Linked DNA regions of Alligator mississippiensis. The protein of the gene in region 2 purifies or fractionates together with the protein of the main gene of each other region. This does not show direct contact. Links are inferred from orthologs where the notes say so. Each region holds a gene or a part of one and is shown on either strand. Other genes may lie near its edges.

Region 1 (7,155 bases), on a different chromosome or scaffold from region 2:
CAAGGGAACAGAATAATTAATCAAACAGCTGTTCACACTTCCTTAGCAGCTACTGTGTCAGTGCTGTATAGCAGTGCTAGCACTATGGCCATAGTTTTGGAGTTGACAGCTGCTAACGAGTTACAAAAATGGAGTACTAAGTACAAGTGCAATAGGCAGTAAACAGTGTCTAAAAGATGTTACACAAGTTACGTACTTAACCAAAATGCAAGTAGACAATATGTATGAGAATCTAAGCCAGAAGCAAAAAACTAGGCTCATATTATGTATTTTAGTGGATTTATCCAATATCCATTAACAAAGTTGACTGTATTTACATCCTGCAGACTTGTTAGCTAAGCCACAAGAGCTACTAGCTGCCATTTCTCCATTAGGATGGCTGAAACTGGACTACACTATAAAAACATTTTCATTTTAGGACAAGCAAATGAATGGTATTGGCTGCACAATGCCTTATAGTTTGCCAAGGGTTGTATTTGTGATCAATGTAATTGTAAGCCAGATCTACATTCCAGGTCATTTTCCAAGTGGCATCTAAATTGAAGCATTTCTCCTCGGAACTTCTACTGATGTTAAAAAAGATTTAGAGTCCACCAATTTCTCCTGGGAACTACTACTGCTGTGTAGGCTGTGTGTAGATGAAACGAGAGGTGTGTGTAAACCACACTTTAAAGTGGGCTAAATGCTTTTGCACCGCTTAAACAGTGTCAGTGTCTGCACGCCTTGGCAGCATATTGTGCATTAATTCCAGCCACTGTAGGAAATCTGGCGGCATAATGCGCCTTAAATGACTTGGGGCACAGCAAACTAAAACTTCTTTGAGGAGTTTTAGTTTGCTGCCCCTACAGCCACAGAGCGAAGCACCAGACTCCATGCAGCTCAGGGGCTCTGCAGGAAGCCTTGCAGGCACCTGGCAGCAGCTCTGGAAAGCAAGAAACCCAAGAAAAGCGGAGAGCCTCTGATCCTTTTTTTTCCTCTGCATCCACCCGCTCTTCCAAGCCTGCCAGCCTGCCTGAGCTGCACAGGGCTTGGTGCTTCCTTCTGTGGCAGCAGTGCCACCCCACCCCCGCCAGGTGCCTGCAGGCGGGTGCCACCTGCGGGGTGGGGCCACAGCAGGAAGCACCAGCCCCCCCTGCAGCCCAGGGACTGCTCTGCCCCCCACCAGCTCACCCTCCCTTCCCTGCTGGAAAGGCAGGTAAGTCAGCGGGGTGTATGCACGACACAGGGGTTTAATCAGCCCTACACTTCAATTTAGGGCCCCCGTTTCATCTACGCATGCCTGTAGTTAATGAATTTGACCCAAATATCTGGTCCAGCCCCCTCTGAAGCCAGTGGATTTCTAGAGCTGCAGAGTCATTATGTTAAGAAGTTAATGGAAATCTGCCTCAAACATTTTGTGTAAAGGAACTTTATTGAGAAAATGGGTCAAAGGTGCTTAGTTCCACTAGGAACTGCATTTATGACGAGCTGGAAGCTGTCCAACTTGATTGTGAAAGGTGCTGTTTGCTCACCATTGGGCAGATTTAACAAGGGAGAAATAGAAGAACAGACAACCCCAAAGCTATTCCACTAGTCACAGTCCCTCTCTCAGTTACGAGGACAGGGGAACTCTAATAGGCCTAAGTTCGATCTGAAGTAAGGAACTTCACAGAAGTGCATTAAGGCCAGAGTCCTTGCGTTACCCCTTCTACTCCTGTCCCTGTTTTCGTTAGTATTTGTCCCAAGTAACCAGTAACACGTCACTATTGGCCCCCCCATACGAAAGGAGGCTCATAGTTTCCTTGGCAGGCCTGGTCCTGCCATATCTCTGATGTGTTAAAAGTCCCTGCATCGCCCCATTAGTCATCAACCTGTTTAAGTGCGGGACCTTTACTTCTTCACGGGGAACTGCAGTGCCTATACGCCACATTGTTTTCAGCCTTCTTACAAGGCTTGGCTCTGAAGAGGATAGTTCCTGTTGACAGCTCTATAATCAGCACAAGGACATACAACAGGTTTTACCCAAGACGAGGAACTGAACCAAAGTTCACTGAAGACAAGATTTCAGTGGATTTTGGGGCAGGCGGTCAGCTTGCTTTGACACTTGACCTGCATCTGATGAAGGGAACTGAAGCTCATGAAAACTCGGGCTTTATATATCTACTTTGGTTAGTCTATAAGATGCAAAACTACCCTGCCTTCCACTTGACCTGTAGCCCAGACAGTCCCAGATGGATTTCAGGTCAACCACGTGCCTTCCTATGGCTTTTTCCTGATGGCAAGTGTTTCTCTGCCCTGGCTGTGCAGCAGGTCAACCCCATGCCTCCCAATAGGGCCCTTTTTTTTTGCTGGAAAGGGGGGCTCTGAGCCCCAGTCAGGCCGTAGGTCAGCCCCTGTGAGGGGTTTCCCTGCTGGAAAGCATCCCCAAGCCCTGGCCGAGTACCAGCTCAGCGCCCCTGTGCCTCAGCCCACCCTGAGGACAGGCAGACGCAGTTCCAGGTACCTTTTGAACCAGTAGATCTCATCGGGGTCGGCGATGCCGTACTCGCGCAGCTTCATCACCATGAGGGCGCTCTTCCGGATGGCCACCTCGTAGCGCTGGCTGCGCGACAAGAAGTTCAGGTCCTCGTGCTGGAATTCGGGGTCGTTCAGGACCAGCGCCTCTGCAGGGGGGTGAGGGGAGAGAAGCAGGGGGACCCCATTACAGCACTCGGGGCTGCCCCAGCCCCCGGGGATGGGGGGACGTGGGGTCTCCCAGGCCAGTGTCCCCTCCAGTAGTGCGGGGGGGCAGGGGGCGGGGCCCCCAGCAGTGTGGGGGGCAGGGGGCGGGGCCCCCAGCAGTGTGGGGGGCAGGGGGCGGGGCCCCCTCAGCAGTGGGTGGGGGGCCGAGGGGGCGGGGTGTCCCAGGGCATGTGGGAGGGGCCTGGGGGCTCGGGGAGTTCCAGGCCGGCGGGCAGGGGCTCCCACTCACCGATCTCGCGGCGGCGGCTCGTGCGCTCGGCGCCGCCATCCAGGACGTGGGTGAGCAGCTCCGGCTGGAAGGCGGCCGCCTCACGCTCCCTGCGCAGGTCCGGGTTCATCGTGATGGCGGCGGCGGCGGCGGCGGCTGTGCGAGCTAGTGACCGAGCCGGGAGCGACCTGCCGGCCAGGCCCCGCCCCCTCAGCCCGCACGTTGCGCCGAGCCGCCGTCACGTGACGCTCGAGTCCCTCCTTCCTCCGCCCCCTCCCCCCCGGGGGCGGGGCGGGGACGCTGCACGGAGGAACCAATCAGGGGGAGGCTCTGGCTGGGCGAGACCCGCCCCCATGTGGCCGCTGCTGAGGGGCGGAGCTCTGGGTCCCGGTCACGTGGGAGCCGGAGGCGGCGGCGATTGGACGCGCTGGGAGGCGGGAGTGGAGGTAAGGGCGCGGGGGAAAGATCCCTCCCCCAGAGCTGTGCAAGGGGGGAACCTATTTCCTTGCTATGGGTTCAGAGAAGCTGAAAGCTTTACTGACCGGGGGTGGGGTTGGGGTACATTACGTTACGTTACGTTACGATGTTGCAGAGTGAAGTAAAGATGGATGTGACGTCACTGGAACGAACTCAACGTCACTGGTTCATAGTGAGGGTGGGAAGGGACCGCAGGTGGTCACAGCTAGTCCAACCCCTGCTCCAAGGGGGACCAGCACCAACTAGCTCATCCCAGCTAAAGGTTTGTTCATCTGGGTTTTAAAAGCCTCCAAGGAAGGAGATGCCACCAGCCCTGTGGGGTTGCCCTTACCAGTGCTTCCCTACCTTCCTAAGGCCTGTATGTGCCACAGTGCTGGGTGCTTTCAAAAGTACCTGGCACTGCATTGCATGCATTTGTATAGATGGTGAAATGCGCGTCAGTGTTGAGGAAGTAGCGGTGGCACTCTTTTGAGTTAAAATACATTGGAGGTATTTTTGTTCAAAAGCCACGCTGCTGCCATTTTCTCAGCAATGATGCATATTTCACCATTTGTACAAATAGATGCGATGCAGCGCTGGGCACATCAGCTCGCATGCTCCGCAGACTTGATTAATTGAATCTGCTTTGACACGCTGGATTTCCCCGGTGTTGGAGCAGACAAAGATACGTGTATAGATGCCCCTAATTCTTCCTCATCTAATCTAAACTTCCCTTGCTGCAACGTGAGCCCATTGCTCCTTGTTCTATTATCTGTCCCCACTGAGAGCAGTCCAGCTCCATCCTCTTTTGATCCCACCTTCAGGTAGTTGAAGATTGATATTAAGTCCCCTCTCAGTCTTCTCTAGACTAAATAAGCCCAGTTCCCTCAACCTGTCCTTATAAGCCATGACGCCTTAGATTAAAAAAACGCAACTGGCTGTGCCAAAGTAGTCCAGAGATACCTGTGTTCTTAGCCCTGTTGGTGTTATGGTTTAACATATGTTTCTCTTTTGGGCGCCGGAAACGCACTCTACCGTCCCTCAGCTTTTTCACAGGGCAGCCTACACGTTGCTGTTGGTCATTTCCACACCTGAGTGAATATTTGCCTAAGTTAATGTTATCCCACCTGAGTTAAAGCTTTTAGTTGAAACTAGAAATGGACAGTAGGGCTGTGAAGCAGAAGAGAGGTTATCAGGACTGGCCAGGAGACACCAAAACGACAAAAGAAAGGCCAGCCTGATTGGTGGACCATCAAGAGCAAAGACTTTCATTATATATGTGCCTCTCTTTCAGATTCATAAAACAAAATCAAGCCTTCTTGAGCATCTTAATGCATCCAGTGCTTCACTGAAAGTTATTTCCACACCTGAGTTAATGTTTCCCACTAGAGTTGAAAGCAGTCTGTGGGAGCTGCGTTACTAGAAGTGGCTACAGCTAACAGACAGCAGGATTGCAGAACAAAGGATAGCTTGATTAGCGGAACCATTAAAAATCATTCAAAAGGAGAGAGGGTGGTTCACACCTGTAGAATGAAGAGTTTAGAAGGAATCAGGTAGATTTTAATGGCATATGAATTCAATTGATGCTCTCTCTGCTGCCTGAACAGAAAAGCTGCTGCCATGGCCAGGCAGTTGGTTTTAAACTTTGGATGGAGTAGGAATCAAAGGGGGCATGCACCAGTGGATCCACCCCTATACCTCGCTGTCAATTACTTCTACACCTGAGTTAGTTACTACACTCAAGTTAAGTTTTTTAGCTGGAGCTAAAAGGCATCTGCAGGGCTGTGAAATAGAAGAGACGTTACCAGGAATGGCTAACAGACAGCAAAACTGCAGAAGAAAAGATAGTTAATTATGGAACATAAAAAGGGTCCAATACTTATGAGAGAAAAAAGGGTCATTAATATTTGGGGAATGGAGAGAGATTACCAGGAAACGGGGAGGTGATAATGAGCCATGAAGTCAGTTGACTCCATGAGCCTCAATAGAAGTGCCACTTACCCTCCCAGACAGTTGGTTTTAAAGTTCAGGTAGAGAAGGAGTGAAAGGGTGTGGGGTGCAACTGCGCCCCGCTGGATCTGCCCTTGCCTTCCAGCCTGTTTGAAGTATTTTGCTGTCTCTGTCTTGATTAAGGTCTTGAGTGGATATGAGGGAAGCAGAGACCTTTATGTGCCCCTTCAAGCCTGGGTTGCCGAGCCAGGATTTCCACTTACCTTCCTCAAGCTCTCCAGGGATGGCATCGAGATCTTAGCTTCCTCTTCCTCCAGCCCACAACGATGTTGGCTTCTGTTTCCCATTGTCTCAGGCCTGGGTCTCTGAGGCACCTGCTCTCAGGAAGTGCATATGGGCACTGGAACAGCAGAAGGGGATCTTGGACAGAGAGATAAGCTCTAGCTTAGAAGCCATGGGGCTTTGATCTGTTGTTGGCCTTCATGGCTTTGATCTGTTCTTAGAGCAATTTGAATCAGAGCTTGAGCTGAGGAATAACTACTCCATAGACTCTGGGCTCTATGGCCCATTGAGTCCTTGTGTTGATTTAGGATAGGCCTCTTGGAGAGAGATCTCTGCAAGTCTTTGTAGAGTTCTTAAATATTGTTATGGAGCCTGACTGCCATAGATATATATTGAAGCAAACTACTTCTGACACCCTATTTTTCTCTGGATACATTCCTTATCCCTTGGAAAGTTGTGATCCAAATAATGATAAGCCCCTCTTCCTGCAGCACTGAAATGGGACAGCCCTGGAAACAACAGATCTGGATGAAGAGAGACTGTCAATGGCCTTTTATATCTGACACAAGGCTTTTTAGTGGGGAAGCCAGCCAGCAGTACTCCCTGTGACCCAAACATGGCCTGAAAAACACCCAGTGAAAATATTCAGAATTTGGCTCGTATTGTAAGCTTCATGCTGTGCCACCTGAGCATTCACCAGTGAGCCATGTAGTCAGTGTTGCATTTACATACTTCAGTGGGTCTTCAAGATCTTTTGAGAGAAGCCACAATCTAGAGGCTTGATAACAGCAGTGGGACCCAAAAGCTCATGAGTTCTTTAGCCTTAGCTTTTGTGACTCCTTGGAGGCCTCTGGCAGCCTCAGTCTATCTTCTTCAGCTTTGACACATGTAGACCTGGAATAAGTATACTTGTATTGTGCGGCTGCTGAGGGGATGCAACGAAGTGTGCAGCACTTTGAAGATACTTATTTATAGTTAGAACTTAGCAAAAATGAATTAAACATGATATGAAAGGCAAGGGTGGACCTTCGTTGTATGCATAAGGGGGACAGTTCTAGGTAAGTGTGGGAGTCAATAAAGGGAATCCTGTGAACCTTTGAACACCTGCCTTGAATTTTGTGTGTTTATAGGACTTGCAGCAGCTGTGCAAGATGCTGCTCAATCCTGGCATATATTATTTCCCTTGGGAGATAAATTCTGGACCTGTCCGGGATGGGGAAACACTGAGAACATTTGGCAGGTGAGTGCTATTCCCAGACTCCTTCCAGGCCATCTCTTTCTTTCCATAACTTCTTCCTCCCCTCAGCATTTCCTTCATATCCTGGGTGTCTCAGCTTACTTCTGAGGGCTGCTGCAGCTGAGTTTAGCAAATCAATTGTTTTCAGGTTGCACTGCTATGACCTGGCCCAGTCTGAAGCCGTCCTCACAGCCCAGCACAACTCAGTCCAGCACCAGGTCCGTGTTTGCACCAAATTTGTGGAACCATTCCAAGCCCAGCTTGGGTTCCTGTATGTGGCCTTGGGAGACATGGAACAGCG
Region 2 (8,038 bases):
TCCATAGTTGTTTAACATTTTTATCAATGACCTGGATGGGGGAATAGAAAGCTTCCTTATCAATGTCAGATGCCACAAAACAGGGAGGGTTAGCAAACTCCTGCGATGATAGGATTAGAATCTAAAAAAGCCTGATACAGGGGAGAATTGAGTGACAGACAAAAAAAAAAAAGAAAGAAAGAATTTCAAAAAAGGTGCTTCACTTAGGAAAGGAAAAAATGAAGATATACATACAAAACAGGAAGTAACTAGCTTGACAATAGGAAGGATCTGAGTGCTATGGTTGATTACAAGCTCACCATGACTTGGTAACAGGATGTGCCTTACCCAGATGCATTCCCAGGGGGCAGTTCTGGGTAAGCGGGGAAAGTGTGGGCTTCCCTGCTTACCCAGATCCATCCCCAGGGGCTCAAGGGACCTGTCCAGGTAAGTAGGGAAAGCCCCATTTTGCCTGCTCACTTTGACCTATCCCCTGGGCTCTTTGGGGGCAGGTCTGAGTAATTTGGGAAAGTGTGGTATCCTCTGATTCCCCAGAGATGCCAGGGGCAGGTCTGGGTAACCAGGTCTCCATGTGGGGCAGTGAGGATTACCTGGGTCCCATGCCTCCACACACAGACCTGCACAGGCTTTCCTGGTTTTCCTTGCTTATGGGGAGCACCCCTGGAGATCATGGGTGAGTGTCTGTAAGCAGGAACCCTGACTCTCCTTTTTATGGAGAAGTGGCCCCAAGATCTCCTGGATGCCTCTCTGTAAGTTGGGAAAGTCAGGCAGATGCTCTAGGGGTTTGAGAGGCCCTCAAGGTGCCTGCCAGAGATGGTTGGAGAGTGCAGGCAGCTCAGGCTGGCTACAGTTTCCCATCTCAGAGCTGCAGGAGAGACTGCGGGTGACTGCCTCCTGGGCAACTTCCAAAAAAGAGCCTAGCTGGGCATGTGCCTAAGCCACCTCAGGTACAGACAGGGGCATATTCAGGTGGGGGGCTGTATAATGGTGCGCTGGCACCCCTCTTTGATTCCTGCTCTGCACAAATGTTAAAACCAACTGCCTGAGAGAAGCTGTGGCATTTCTATTCAAGCAGCATTGAGAGAGTCAACTGACTTCATAGATCATTGTCACCTATTAACTCAGGTGAAACATGATGGATAGCGACATCTTGGGGTCATTGTTGAGGCACTCAAGGCAGCTAGGTTTTGTTTTCCAAATCTGAAGAAGACACGTATGATCTAGTTGAGGATGGTCCTGCTTTGAGCAGGAGGTTGGACTAGATGACCTCCTGAGGTCCCTTCCAGCCCCCAGTTTCTATGTACATTCTAATATAATAAAAGGTTTAGTCTGTCTGTCTGTCCATAACACTTTGGCCAACTGTGCATGCGCCCAGCTGGGCTGCGCAGGCCTAAGTTTGCACCACTGCCGGGGAAGTTTGGTGGCAGCGAACACGCCTTGGCCTCCCAACCAGTGGGGCTTCTCCCCTGCCTCCCTGCCTGAGGGCAAAGAGGGGTGGGGATCACTGTGGCAGCACCCCCCAGAGCAGCTGACAGGGAGGGGGAGTCAGTGGGCAAGGAGGGAGGGAGGTGAGCGGGGAGGCAGGTGGACATGGAGCGGCGGGGCATAGCCCCATAGTCTGTGTGTGCATGCATGTCTTTGAGTGCATGTGTCTGTCATGGGAGGAAGAGTATGTTTGTGTTTGTGCATCCATGTGCACAAAGTGAGTGAGCAGAGTGTGAATTGTGTGTGTGCATGTGTCTATGTTCATGGCAGGAGGGACAGTGTTTTTGTCTCCATTGTAGTATTGCAGTGACTATAATTGCTTTGATTGTTTATATTGTTATTTTTCTTTTTATATAATGAATAAATTTAACCATTGAGATGAAGTTAATCTTTGTTATGATTTACTCTTTATAATAATTTAATCGGTCATTATTAGTGTTCTGGAATTAACCATCTATTTTAAATTTTTTATTGCTTAGCATAAATATATTGGACATATTGGTCTCATGATTTGAGACATACTTGACCTATTGGTCTCATGACTTTAGAACTTAAATTTAGTATAAGGAAAACACTTGTGTAAGGGTTTGCAGTATGTCTGGCATACGTGAAAAGAGATAACGAAAGAATGAATGATGGATGTATGTGACAACGTGAAGGAAGACAGTCCTCTTTCAGCAGGTGAAAATAGCCTTCTGTGGTTTAACGGTTAAAGGCTGCAGTGACATCAAGTATTTGGTAATCCTTAACTGATGACTAGATCATGCTTCACCCTGATGGCTGAAGACTGCAAGCAACGACCCCCCTGAAGACTGCAGACCACAAAGCAAGAAGATCCTATCCTACCAATCCCAGTCTGCCAACAGGACAAGGAGGATGACCTTTGTGTCTGACTCAGGGGAATCCATAGGCTTGTATGAACACCTCTTACTATAAAGAATGAACACAAAGACAAGGCTTTGGGTCTTTTCCACCTGCAAGAAGGAGTTTTGGGCACGTCCAACAAGACCTGACTCCATCTCTTGTGGTCAGTCTGGCCGGCCACCAGACTGACCTGAGCAACTTTAGAACTTGGTAACACCTTAACCTTTGCAGGACTGTCTGACTATCTGTGTGTGTGCACTTGTCTCTTTTGTATGAATGAATGAGTATGCATGGGAATGAGTGAAGCAGACAACCTTACTGTTCTTTATTCTTTTCATGTTGCACGTTTTGTCTCATGTTCCAATAAATGTGGTGTTGTGCTTTATCCCCTGATAAGATTCCTGCTTGTTTTTAATTCACACTGTACGCCCTGTGTGCAAAATGGCATCTGTCTGCATATGTGTGTGTGTGTGCATGCATGTCTGTGTCTGCCTGTGTCTGTGTGTGCGCGTGCATGTCTGTGTTCATGGCAGGGAGAATGTGTGTGTCCATGTGCAGAGAGTGAAAGTAGAGTGTACACCCATGTGTGCGTGTATATGTTTGGCCATAGTGGGGGAGGGCGCGGTAAGGTAACAGGGAGAAGAGGTGGGCATGTACATCCCCCACCCCCAGCCTGGCAAAGTCCACTCAGCCAGCTCTGCCAGCAGCAGGAGGGGAAGGGGCCCCTTCCCCTCCTCCCTGTAGGCCAGTTCCCATGGGGGGGAGGGGGCCTCCAATTTTGTGTATGCCTAGGGCCCCAGTACACCTTAATGTGCTGGGGGGGGGCATGCAGGGCTGGACCCAGTGCGGGGGGGATGGCAGACCCAGAGCAGTGGTGGGGGTGGGTGGGCAGGAGCCGTGGCTAGATGTGGAGCTCCATCCCCGTCTACCTGCCCCCATCATTCTTGATGGACAATTTGCTAGTTAAAATATAAGGACTGCAGGGCTAATGACATGGGATCTTTGGACTCTTGTTTTTGCCCAGCTGGGTGTGTTTCTGTAAACTTTACATAGAACTTCTGTTGAGGAATTCCCATGTAGTGCGCAGGTTTGTCATTACCCTGAAATAGAATAGTTTTCTGAAAGCATACTGTTAGGTTTACAATAATTTGGATTTTTAAGAAATATTAGCTTTACAGCTGAATACAAGGCATGACCTGTGGCCTAGTAATGCAGCTGACCACAAGGCAGAATGATAGCTAGGCCTTTGCTTGTGTCAAGTAATCATTTTAACTGCAACAAGCATTTTCTGAGTTAAAAAGTGAATCTGTGTCTGTGTGCTAAAAAAAATCAGCTACAGCTAGAAGTAAGATAAGACAGAGAAACCATTGTTTGAGCTTACTGGTTGTGTCCTTGAGAACTATCTTCTACTGTGTAAGGTTTTGCTAACATAATGTTACTGTTACTTAACTTTTAGCTTTTAAAAAGTACTAGTTCAGCTTAATAGAAATATGCTGTTACAAAGATTTGTAGAGCACCGCCCCAAGTATTGCTTTTTGTTAACCATGTAGTCTTGCTTTGTTGTAAGAAGTATAAAAGATCGCCTCACCCTTGAGGGGGGGCCATTTTGCCTTTTGCTGGCTTTATGGTCTTTGCTCGAGCAATTAAACAGCTGTCTTTCTTTACCCGCGTTGTCTGTCAATCAAATTACAGCTAGACAACGGACCTTAGGGAGGTTTCTCCCACCACACCCACCACGGTAACTTGGAAAACAATTCAAGTGCGAAAGAGAGGGATGTTAGTTGATTTGTGTTTTATATATGTTCCTATACGCTCCTCACCACGTCTTCCAGTACTGTGTGAAATAACACGACAAACATTGATAACATATGGCTTGGTGTCTCCTCTTCCCAGGAGAGGGAATCTCTAATTATTTTTTAAGATTTGGTGTTTGGCTTTTTTCTTTTATTATTATATTCTCACTGTTTCAAGAGCAGGTTGGACAGAGACTTGGCTGGGAGGTTTTAGTCAGGGTTAATCCTGCCTTGAGCAGGGGGTTGGCTTAGATGAACTCCTGACGTCCCTTCCAACCCTCGCTGTCTTTGATTCCGTGTGTAAGGACTGCAGGATTAAGGGCGCAGGATCTTCGGGCTCTTGCCCAGCTGGGTGGCGTCATGGAGAAGCAGGGCTGGGAGGGAAGGCACCTCCAGGGTTCACCTAGGGCACTGGTTCTCACTTTTAAGCAGCAGGACCCATTTATAAACATCGATGTCTATTCTGCTCCCAGAAGCCCTCACTCCCGATCCCAGGGTGTGGGGTACGAAGCCCCAGGCACTCCCTCCCAGGCTAGACCTCTGCCAGCCTGCAAGCGAAAACCCTGGCTTCCCACTTAAGAGGACCCTTGAAGTTCTCGCGAGCGACCCGCGGGTTGAGAGGCTGCTGCAGTCCGCCGCCTGCCCGAGGTGGTGTTTGTGTGACTGTCCACGGAGCCTCCTGCTGCTCTCCGCAGTGCTGGCGCGGGAGGAGTCTCCCCACTCCTCCCCCCGGCCCCGGGGTTCCCCGCCGCCGCCGCCGCTCGCGAGACCGACGTCAGAGCGGCCCGAACGCCTGCGCCTAGGCCGGCGCGCGGGGCGCCTGGCCCTTTAAGGTGTGGCCCCGCCCCCCGCCGCCCCGGCCCTGCTGCGAGCCTGGCGGAGCCCGGCTGCCGTCGCGTCGGGAGGGGCCTGCCTCGAGCCGCCCGCGGGCTGTGCCGTGCCGTGCCGTGCCGTGCCGGGCCTGGCCGGGCCGGGGGGTGCGGGCTGCCTCTCACCGCCGTGCTCCCGCTCTCGTGTGTGCACAGGCGCAGGCGGCGCGGCGCCCCCCGGCCACGATGGCGATGCGGGAGCTGGTGGAGCCGGAGTGCGGGGGCTCCAACCCGCTCATGCAGCTGGCCGGGCATTTCACCCAGGACAAGGCCCTGCGGCAGGAGGGGCTGCCAGGCCCCGCTGCCTGGCCCCCCGCGCTTCCTGCCGACGCCGTGAGTGCCAAGGCAGTGTGGCGAGGCAGGGGCCGTCACCTGGCAGGGAGCACGGGTACAGGATGGAGGTGCTGCGACAGGGTGGCTGCTCCCACCCCGGGTGTAGGGCTGCAGGGTGCAGGTGGGTGGCCCTGGGCCCTCACCCTGCTGTCTGATGTGTTGGGCTGGTGGTGCAGGGGCATCTGTTCCCAACACCCTGGGGGTTCCTGGAAAGCAGGAGGTTGCCATCATGCCGGCTAGGACATCTCTCCGCAAGGGGTGTCCAAGGGAGGTGGGCTGTGCTGGAAGTGGCTTTGTTCGTCACACGGAGGGGACGTGCGTGCTGGGCTGGGTTGCAGGTGGGGTAGGCACTGGTTAGTCTGGTGGTGGTGGTGGGAGGAGGAGGGATGGCAGCAGAGGGCGATGCTTTGCAGTAATTGCTTGCTCCCTCATTTCTGTAGGTGTCCAAGCCTCTGGGAGTGGCATCTGAAGATGAGGTAAGTGTAGCCATGTGTCACTACCCAGTACCTTTCTTGCAGCCATGTTCTCTCTGTTCCCTTTCGTTCTGTCCTTCTTGTCCCCCACCTCCCACCCACATTCTCCCTTCCTTCTTCCTTCATCCAAGAGCCTTTGCTGTTTGTCCTCCCAACCCCATACGCATGTACTCTCTTTTTCTTTTTTGCAGCTGGTTACAGAATTCCTCCAGGAGCAAAGTGCTCCCTTGCTCTCCCGTGTCCCCCAGACCTTTAAGATGGATGATCTTCTGGCTGAGATGCAAGAGATTGAGCAGTCAAGTTTTCGCCAAGCCCCCCAGCGAGGTGAGGGAGACTAAGAAAGGGTCAGGCATATCAGGGCCTTTTCTGGGTCTGTAGTGGTATATCCTGATAGGAGCAGAAAGAGGATGTGGGCAGAAGGTGCCTGAGGATTAGGAAGCCAGGTCTTCTCCAATCACCAGCAGGGGATAGGACACACGGGTCTCATCACTTAACCTTCCCTCCTTCCTCTCTCTCTACCCTAGCTCCAGGTGTGGCAGCCCTGGCTCTGTCTGAGAACTGGGCCCAGGAATTCCTGGCCGCCTCAGATGCTACGGCTGATGGGTCCCCAGATTACAATGAGGCCGACTGGTCACAGGAGTTCATTGCAGAGGTGACAGGTGAGGGCACATTTTTGAGAAGCTGAGTTAAGGTGTTGGTCAATAACGTGCCTCTGCCCTGATCCCACAATGATGATGTCCTTTGAATGTGAGATGAGCCCACCCATAAGACACGACCAGTATTTGGAACAGGCTGCTTCTGCATCGGCACCTCACCTGTATGGGAAAGTTGTACTGGTGTAACCTAAAGCAGGAAATTGCACTTGTTTTGCTAATTTGGGTTAAATTCCTTTTTGGCCACTCTCTTATTCTGGTGCAAGTGTTTTATTTTGGTTTACTTCAACAGAAGCTGGTCAGTTGACAGACTGACTGCAATCCAGCTGTCAGGGGAGTTGCAGAATATTGGAAATCCAAGTTCAAATCCTTGACAAATGAATACTTAATTCTTGGGCTCAGAGTGGCAGAGCAGTTGGTATCTTGCTGTGGACTCAGAGGTGTGAGTTTGACCTTTGTTCTGGGCTCATGCTAAAGATGACCTCCCAATTCCCCAATTGAACCAGCTATTGGGGGATAACCATGTTGGCAGGAGCACTGCTGAGAGGGCTGAAGGGATTACTAGTGGATCACAAGCTCAGCCTGAATCAGCAATGCAGTCTTGTTAAAAAAGAAAAAAATAAGCAAATACAGTTTTGGGGTGGAATTCACAAAAGCAGTGTATGCAGGACCCCTCTGTGTGTTGCTAGATAGGCCTGAGCTGGGGTACTGTGCCCAGCTTCAAAGTAACATATTATGGGAAGGATGTAAAAAAATAAAAATCTGGAGAGGGTCCAGAGGTGAGCAGTAAAGATGGAAAAAAGCAATCTGTGCAAGGAAAAGTTGAAGGAAGTTGGTATGCCTAGTTTGAACACTGTTCTCCCTTGCCACAGAGGGCAGAGCATTTGACAATGGGCTTAAACTACAGCAAAGCAGATGCAGATCAAGTCTTGAGAAAACCTATAAGTTTTATAACTGTGGTCGGAGCAATAGAACAAGCTTGTCTAGAAAGGGCGTGTGATCTTTCACAGAAGATTTACAAGAAGTGGCTGGATAGGTATTTGTCTGGAATGGCTTTGGAACAGTGAATTCTGCATCTCCACAGGCTGGACTAGATGGTTCTCGAGATCCAGTCTAATCCTAGGCTTTGAGACTTTTCTCATAAGAAGGGTAGTAAAGCATTGGATCCTGTTACCCAGAAAGGCTATGGAATCTCCGTCCTTGGTGATTTGTCAGACAAAGCCTTGGCTGGTTCGAGGATAGTCTAGGATGGTCCTGCTTTGAGCACAGGGTTGGACTGGATGACCTCTGGAGGTCTCTTCCAACCCTCACTTTCTGTGATTCTAGGAACAGGCTTAAGCTTAAAGTGAAGTAAACTGCTCACATGCCAGAAGTGTGTTTGAGTTTATATCAGTTTAAATCGATTGGTTTTAAAATGATTTAAACTAATCCATTACAACTTTCCGGCATAGGAAGTGCCTAGCCCTACCTGTCTTTGAGTACACGTAGCTCTTCAATGCAACCTATTTAGTTGATGCAACTTGGTCCTGCCCTAAGACAAATATTGATTTGAATGTCTCAGCCAAATC
Region 3 (7,428 bases), on a different chromosome or scaffold from region 2:
ATAGCAAAGAAGATCATTCAGAGTCCTCAAAGAACCAAAGACCACAGCCAAAATGCGTCCCAAATCCTACATTACAGGACCCTGCAGTCTACTGAGAACTGGAAAAGCTCGAGAAAAAAGAACAGAAGTCTGGGCTGAGAAATTAAGATGAGAATACTAATCGGAGAGCAGTGTCATCTGTCCTTCCTTCCTCAGAGCTTCAGATTAGGCTTTGCAACACTGTATAGCATCCACAATCACTTTGTGGCCCACAGAAATTGGCAATGCAACAGTAGCATAACTAGAGGGGCGAGCGAGGCACCAGCCCCAGGTGCCGACTTGGAGGGGGCATCAGAATGCCTCCTCCACCCCCCAGCTCCAAGCCTTCGCTATAACAGGTGCAGCCTTGTGCCCAGTACGGTATGGAGGGGAGGGGGTTAAGTGGAAAGGGCTCCCTTCTCCTGGCATTTTTGCTGCAGGAGGTGCAGATCCTCATCTAGTCACAAATCTGGGGGAAAGGACATAGGGGTGAAAAAGAACACCAGCGTCAGCCCATGGAGAGCCCCTGCCATGGAGGGGCCACAGCCAATGTACAGTGAGCTGCCTCTGGTGCCCTGTTTACTCCCACCCCCTGCCCCGAAATACTACTGGGCAAGGAACTGCCCCTCCCATGGCAAAAATGCTGAGGGGGTGTAGGGGAGGGAAGGGGGAAGGGGGCTATTCCACTCAACGTTTCCCCCATATGCTACTGGACTGCCCAGCTTCTGTAGCTATGCCTGCCATGGCAAATACTCTGGTAGGGGCAGGGAAGGATTTTGGTGCCCCTTGTTGCACCCTGCGTGCAGAGAGAGCTGGAGCAGGTAGGACTTCAGCACTCTACCCAGGGTGCTGCAGAAGCTCAATATGCCTCTGATGCAGACTTCAACCCATCAGCTAACCACTAACTGGACTGCAATTGCCCATGTCAAAGGGATCATACTAAAGAAACTGCAATGAACTGGATGCTTTGAAGCTTTAGTATCACTGGCAAACATTTAGGGAGAGCCAAAGAAAACCATATGAACTGCAAACATTTCCCTGCTCCAAGGGAGTCAAGTAAAAAGAAGCGACTCTCTGCCACCTTCCCTTTAAACATCCCTCCATACTAGAGAGCACCACAGCTTCCCTTTAGGTAATGAAAAGAAGATTTATCCTCCCCAAAGAAATGTCCAGCGTCATTCCTAGGCAGGCTAGGCTTCCCATACCCAATCTGGAGTGGATTAAACTAGGTCTGTGGCTCACCTGGCCTGAACAAAATTTGTTCTCCACAACACTGTTCAAGAATAGCCTCAAAATGCCCAGTTTTACTCCAGCCTCACAGAGGGTGTAAACAAGGCTGGAGGTTTAAATACCAAGCTTCAGACCCACAGAGTTAAATTGAGAGGTCCAGAATTTTATCCCGTGACTTTATGCCCCCACGCTCTTCTGGAGCACTGAGCAGAACCCACCCATGGGCATCAGGCAGGGACATCCGATGCAATCCTATCCTGCAGTGACACAATCTCCGGGAAATGGCCGTTTCAGCCCCACCTGCCTTCGGTCACTGCATCGAAACCGTCTATTTCAGAAATGCAACAACGCAGCCACCTGCGGTGACCTTCCTCAGAGGGAGGTGCGTCTTAAAAAGACCCTCCGAGGACCGAGCACCAGTCTGCCTTTGACATTTGAAGCGGGACGGCGAGTTTACTGTACTTTACCTCCTCCTCTTTGCGGATGTTGCACTGCATGGGGGTTACTTGGGCTGGATTTGGGGAACAGTTTTGATCAGTCAGCTCTTTGGCAGCAGCTTTTAATCTGTCCAGTTTGCGAGAGGCAATAACTACATTGCAACCTGTGGAAACAAACCCAAAACCCCTTTAGACAGACGCTACGCATATGGAGCTGCTGCATTAGGCATTTCGTAACATGGGTCTTTTATAGGACAGCCACTCGTTGACCATTGCTAGACGACGGGCATGCCGTCAGAGATCAGTCCCGGCCCCTACGAGCCCTCAACCCTTCTTTTCATTTGGGAAGTTCGAGAAACAAGGAGCAGCAGAGGGAAGCTGAACACGGGATCCCAAGGTGCTTGAGAAAGGACAGGATGAGAAGGGAGCTCGCACCTCCTGGCCTGCCCAGTGCTTGGATATTCACCCACAATACCAACACGGCAGCCCAGCTCACACCAGCCGCAGCTCACTTCGGCTTTATGTGGGGCATTATTCACTGCGAACGAGATGCACGAACCTATCTGTGCTATAACAAGGTTACAAAAGTGCCTTGCCAACTCTCTCCTTCGGAGAATCGCAGACAACGAGGGCTGAAGGGACGGGGGGGGGGGGGGTGCATTTCTAGTCCAGCCCCTGCTCCAAGCAGGACCAGCCCCAACTACATCATCCCAGACAAGGCTTTGTTGAGCCGGGTCTTAAACACCTCCAAGGATGGAGACTGCACCACCTCTCTGGGTAACCTGTCCCAGTGCTTCACCACCCTCCTCCTGAGAGAGTTTTTCTTGATTCCTGATTTTCCCGAATCCTGCCATGGGGCTGGGTGTGCGCGCGCTGGTGCTACACGGGCACAGGCCCAGGCCCAGCGCGGGGTCAGGGCTCTCAGCTGCAGCAGCCCATGGGGTTTGGGCACCCACCAGGGAGGGACCTGCCCCACCCCATGCTATCAGGCCCCGCCCCCTAACTCCCCCACCCCGTCACTGCCAGGCAACACCCCACAGGCCCCGCCCCCACGCCACACCCGCTCCCCCTCTTCCCACTCCCAGGCACCACCTCGACAAGCCCATCCCTGTCCCCCTGTTGGTCTCACCCTCTGCCACTCCCAGGCAACCCTACAAGCCCCGCCCCGACGCCACACCTGCCTCCCCATTGGTCCCGCCCCGTGCCACTCCCAGGCAAGCAGGCAGCACGCCCACAGGCCGAGCCGCTGACCGAGGTGGCGCAGGTCAGCGGCGATGGCCTTGCCGATGCCGGTACCGCCGCCCGTAACGATGGCCACGCGCTGCCCGAGCAGCCCCGGCACCAGCGCCCGCACCCGCCCCGCGCCGCCCGCCGCCGCCGCCATCTTAGCGCAGGCCCCGCCCCTCGCCTCTCGCCCCGCCCCCTCCACGCGCGTCAGCCACCCGCTGCGGCCGCCTCCCCCTCCCCCTTCACCTCAGCCTCCGCCCCGGGCCGGGCCGGGCCGGGCCGCCGCCAGGTAGGGACGGGCATCGCCGGGCCGGGTGGGGTTTGGGGGTGTCCCCGTGTGCACGGCGCGGTCTCGACGGCTGCCGAGCGGTGTCCCACAGGCGTGTGTGCCCGCGCGTGAGGACACACCTGACAGCCGGGCCGGGCTCCTCCTCCTCCTCCTCCTCCACCCGTGTCTCCCCCAGAGCCGGGGCGCGGCGCACGCCGGGCACAAAAGACATTTTCCCCCGTCTCTAATGCGGGTCATTTTACACCCCCCCCCCCCCGTGTGCGCTCGTCTTCAAAACGGGCCAAGCTCACTCTGCGGCCGCCCCCTAGACACTCTCCCCGGACGAGGCAGGCCCGAAAAACAAGCCTTGCCTCGAAACATTGCAACCCGGAGCCGCTTTTCCCCATAGGAAACAATGTTGTAAATGGGGGATCGGTTCCTGAACCCAGGCCTGACACCCTGTTTTCACTAAAAATACCCCAGAATTTTGCACTCGATCCACTACGGATACGTCACGTAGCTACACGCACGTATTGCTATCGTAAATAGCAATCCTAGCCATTCGGAAGGACTTCTTTGAGGTGCCCGTGCCGGACTTTGCGAAGGGCTCCTGGCTGGAGGTTTTTTGGGGTTCGTGGGCTTTCTGAAAGAAAGCGTCGGAGGACGTTGGGACAGATGAGCGACGAGCGAGGCGGAGAACTCGCTCGCGGGCGTGGCGTGGCGTCGGAGCGAGCGTCGTGAAGACGAAACTGATGTCAGACAGTTGAAACGTGGTTTGTAAACGTCTCAGTGCAAAATGTTGTAAGTCAGGGACTGCCTGTACATGGGACGAGTCCCAGCGAGAAACGCTCCTCCGCGTTAGCGAGCCGGGACCGCAGCCTCGCCGCAGAAATGAACGGCTTGCCTCTCCGGTGTGATACGCCACGCTTTCAGATTACGATTTTTATCAGGATGGACTTCAAATCTCAATCAAGTCGGTCATTTTTCTGGACAGGTACGTGACGCGCTCCTCAATCCAGCATCGGAAGTGCTATTTAAAGAAGTAAGAGAAAGAAATCAGGGCTTTGTCAGTGTCTGCACTAACCGTGCCCCGCAGGGACCGTCCTGCAAGAGTCGCACTTCTTGTGGGGTGGGATTACTGCGTCTGCTTTAAATCCCTATCTGCTAAGCGCTAACCAGAAACTGCCGCTGTCCGTTCTTGTTGCCACCGAAGGTGACGACTTCAGGCTGGGACCAACGTGAGCTGCGTATGATTCAAGGTTTTAAACCAACCTTTTTGGCAAGTATGCTGCAAGTTAGCCCTGCATCCTCCCCCAGCTCCGCTCCAGTCTCTTCTCTTGCCCAATCTTCTGCTCTGCTTTCTGCCTCTTGCACGACTGCTGCCTGGATGCCCGTCCCCTCCCCAGTCTGACCGTGTCATGGGGTGGCCACTTCTGCCTTAAATTGCCTCAGGTGGAATTAAAGTGATTATAAATCACCAGTTTTAAAATCATGATTTAAGTCAAGGGCAGGAAATGTTAATTTAAGTTCTCAGTTCTAATTTTGTTTTGCTTTTGTATTTTTTTTTTTTTATAGTTATTGTACCTTTTTAAAGCTGATTCTCACTGGTTGGTAAGCATTAAAATACATTGATCTATACAAATGGATATAGGCCCACACGACAACTTGGAACTTCTTTGTTAACTGGTAGGATATCCTATATCTGTACACTTTTTATTTAAGCAATGAAGAAAGGGCCAGTTATTTATTGGATGATCATTTGTTTTTGGTTTTTTTTGGGGGGGGTGTTAAAGTTTTGATTGATAGAAATCACAAAGTGCATTTGGATTGAAGTTAGAAATTCACTAAAATGTACAAAACATCATTTTGCTGGGTTTTTGGTTGTAGCCATGTTAGTCTCAGGACATAGGCAGGCACGGTTCTTTGGGTAGATGTGATATCTTTTATTAGACCAACTGAATAGTTGGAAAACATTTAAACAAAACATCATTTTTTATTTTTAGTTAAAGCTGTTACATTAGATGCATTAAAAAAATAATTTATCAAAGTGTTTTAATACAAAATGATTATTAATAGTTAATGAATTAAAGGGGGGCTGGGTCACTGCTTCAAGATGTTAGAACTAGGAGAGCTCACTTTCTTACCTATACCTTTTGTTCGTTCATAGATTGTCAGAGGAAGACGAGCTTTCCTGCTTTTTTTGTTCCCATTTTGCATCTCAGCTTTGAATGAATCAGATCAAACTAGTTGAATATATTGAAATAAAGGAAGATATTATTTCTGCACCTGCAGAGGAGGCTGTGGCTTTCAGCAGCTGTTTTTATCAAATTCTTGTCACTGGTGCTTAGCTAATGACTTCTATTAGTTCAGTAGTTTGGTTGAGTGGATTTAAAATCTGAGCAGCAAACGTGTTGTCCATATCCTGTTTTTATTTCATTTAAATGCTTGCTTGACTTTAAAAAATGTGGACATTAATATAGGTAGCTGTATTTTTATTTAGTAGTAGAAATGTTTTTCAAATAAGCCAATTTAAATTTTAAAAAGATATGATTTACACTTAATAAAGAAGCAAAGCATGCCTGCCTTGGTATGAGCTTACAGAAGAATTGGCCTGGACTCTTATCAAGGGATTGCTCCTGTCCCAGCTAGTATCTACACACACATGTCTCTTATTTAATCTTAAACATAGGCCAGTGGACAGGGCAAGAGGTATAGCAATGAATTCAGTCTGTCACCATAGAGTGCCCCATCGATAATTCCCAACCAATAACACGAATAAAGTGAAAGTGCCTCGTGTCTGGAATACTGTGGCATCATGCACCCAATTCATGTTCCACATGGGTTTTCTTGAACCTCCCTCCACCCTCAGGCAAGGCATGCAGCTCAGCTGAGGCATGCATGTACCCTTTTGAGAAAGATGGGCATACTATGAAATGCATTGCTGATAGCTGAAACAGTTCAGAAAGCCCAGTCCCATCAAGCTTGCTATTGTTTCAAGGACATCAGCAATATTTGCTACTGGCAGTAAAGGACAATAACAACCTCCTTGCAAACCTTCAGTACCATGGCACTAAGCATTGACTTACCAACATAAACAGATTAGCCACCAAACTATAACAGTCTGGGGTAGCCCACTTCCAGATGGCAATAGCAACCTGCTGGTGTGGACTCCATCTTGCGTATGCCTTGGTACAGAAGGGCCTTGCCAATCATTTCCCACAGCTCCGTGAAGGGGACTTTCCTCTTGTGGGAGTCGTAAAGCCATTGTTGGTCCCTCCAGGTCTGCACAAGAGCGTGGACTAGAGGAGGGGAGGGACAGAATCCAACTGGATCTAGACAGGTTGCAGAGGTGAGCGGATGAGAATAGGATGGAGTTCAGTGCAGACAAGTGCAAGGTGCTGCATCTGGGGAGAAGGAACCAGCAACACACCTATAGGCTGGGGAACACCCTTCTCAACAACACGGTGGCAGAAAGGGATCTTGGAGTCATTGTTGTCTCCAGGATGGACACGAGCTGCCAATGTGTGGAAAGTGGTCAGTAAGGCCAGCCGCACCTTGTCGTGCATCCACAGATGTATCACAAGCAGGTCCAGGGAGGTGATCCTTCCCCTCTATGCGGCACTGGTCAGGCTGCTGTTGAAGTATTGCATCCAGTTCTGGGTGCCGCACTTCAGGAGGAATGTGGCTTACCTTGAGAGGGTCCAGAGGAGGGCTACTTGTATGGTCAGGGGGCAGCAGGGCAGGTCCTATGAAGATAGACTAAAGGGCCTGAATCTATTCAGCGTCCACAAGAGAAGGCTGAGAGGGGATCTGGTGGCCATCTATAAAACTCACCAGGGGGGATAGTGGAAAATAGTTGAGGCTCTGTTCCCCCAGGCACCACTTGGGATAACAAGGAATAACAGCCACAAATTGATTGAGAGCAGGTTCAGGCTTGATATCAGGAGACATTACTTTATGGTGAGGGCTGCCAGGCTCTGGAATGGGCTCCCAAGTGAGGTGGTGCTCCTCCTTACCTTGGGGCTCTTCAAGGAGGAGGTTGGATAGATATCTGGCTGGGGTATTGTGATGCCAGCACTCGTTCCTGCCCATCATCAACTTGATGATCTGTTCAGGTCCCTTCCAACTCTAGAAATTATGCTGATCAGCACTGGGGTTCCCACAATGGTCTAAACCTGCATTATCTGTCCCTACAGTTGTAGGAGTACATGCAGTCCATATAATCTCCTTAGCAGGCCCACTACTGCT

What was found.
Region 1: the proteins of PEX5 (region 2) and ACOX1 purify together in Homo sapiens (affinity purification with mass spectrometry; 3 studies listed by BioGRID, with this or other methods). This does not show direct contact. The link is inferred for Alligator mississippiensis from reciprocal best matches to the Homo sapiens genes PEX5 and ACOX1.
Region 3: the proteins of PEX5 (region 2) and PECR purify together in Homo sapiens (affinity purification with mass spectrometry; 3 studies listed by BioGRID, with this or other methods). This does not show direct contact. The link is inferred for Alligator mississippiensis from reciprocal best matches to the Homo sapiens genes PEX5 and PECR.

Annotation. Positions count from the first base shown.
Region 1 is NC_081831.1:13,344,160-13,351,314, forward strand, and holds the start of ACOX1 (peroxisomal acyl-coenzyme A oxidase 1), read right to left. Parts: upstream 3,064-7,155; 5' UTR 3,060-3,063; coding exon 2,951-3,059; intron 2,643-2,950; coding exon 2,483-2,642; intron 1-2,482. Other genes in the region: CST complex subunit TEN1, read left to right, coding at 3,064-3,375, 6,748-6,857, 7,003-7,155. UniProt on the Homo sapiens protein: Involved in the initial and rate-limiting step of peroxisomal beta-oxidation of straight-chain saturated and unsaturated very-long-chain fatty acids.
Region 2 is NC_081824.1:244,302,012-244,310,049, forward strand, and holds the start of PEX5 (peroxisomal biogenesis factor 5), read left to right. Parts: upstream 1-5,007; 5' UTR 5,008-5,197; coding exon 5,198-5,344; intron 5,345-5,784; coding exon 5,785-5,820; intron 5,821-6,008; coding exon 6,009-6,141; intron 6,142-6,341; coding exon 6,342-6,476; intron 6,477-8,038.
Region 3 is NC_081827.1:252,180,054-252,187,481, forward strand, and holds the start of PECR (peroxisomal trans-2-enoyl-CoA reductase), read right to left. Parts: upstream 3,071-7,428; 5' UTR 3,070-3,070; coding exon 2,937-3,069; intron 1,850-2,936; coding exon 1,716-1,849; intron 1-1,715. UniProt on the Homo sapiens protein: Participates in chain elongation of fatty acids. Catalyzes the reduction of trans-2-enoyl-CoAs of varying chain lengths from 6:1 to 16:1, having maximum activity with 10:1 CoA. Has no 2,4-dienoyl-CoA reductase activity.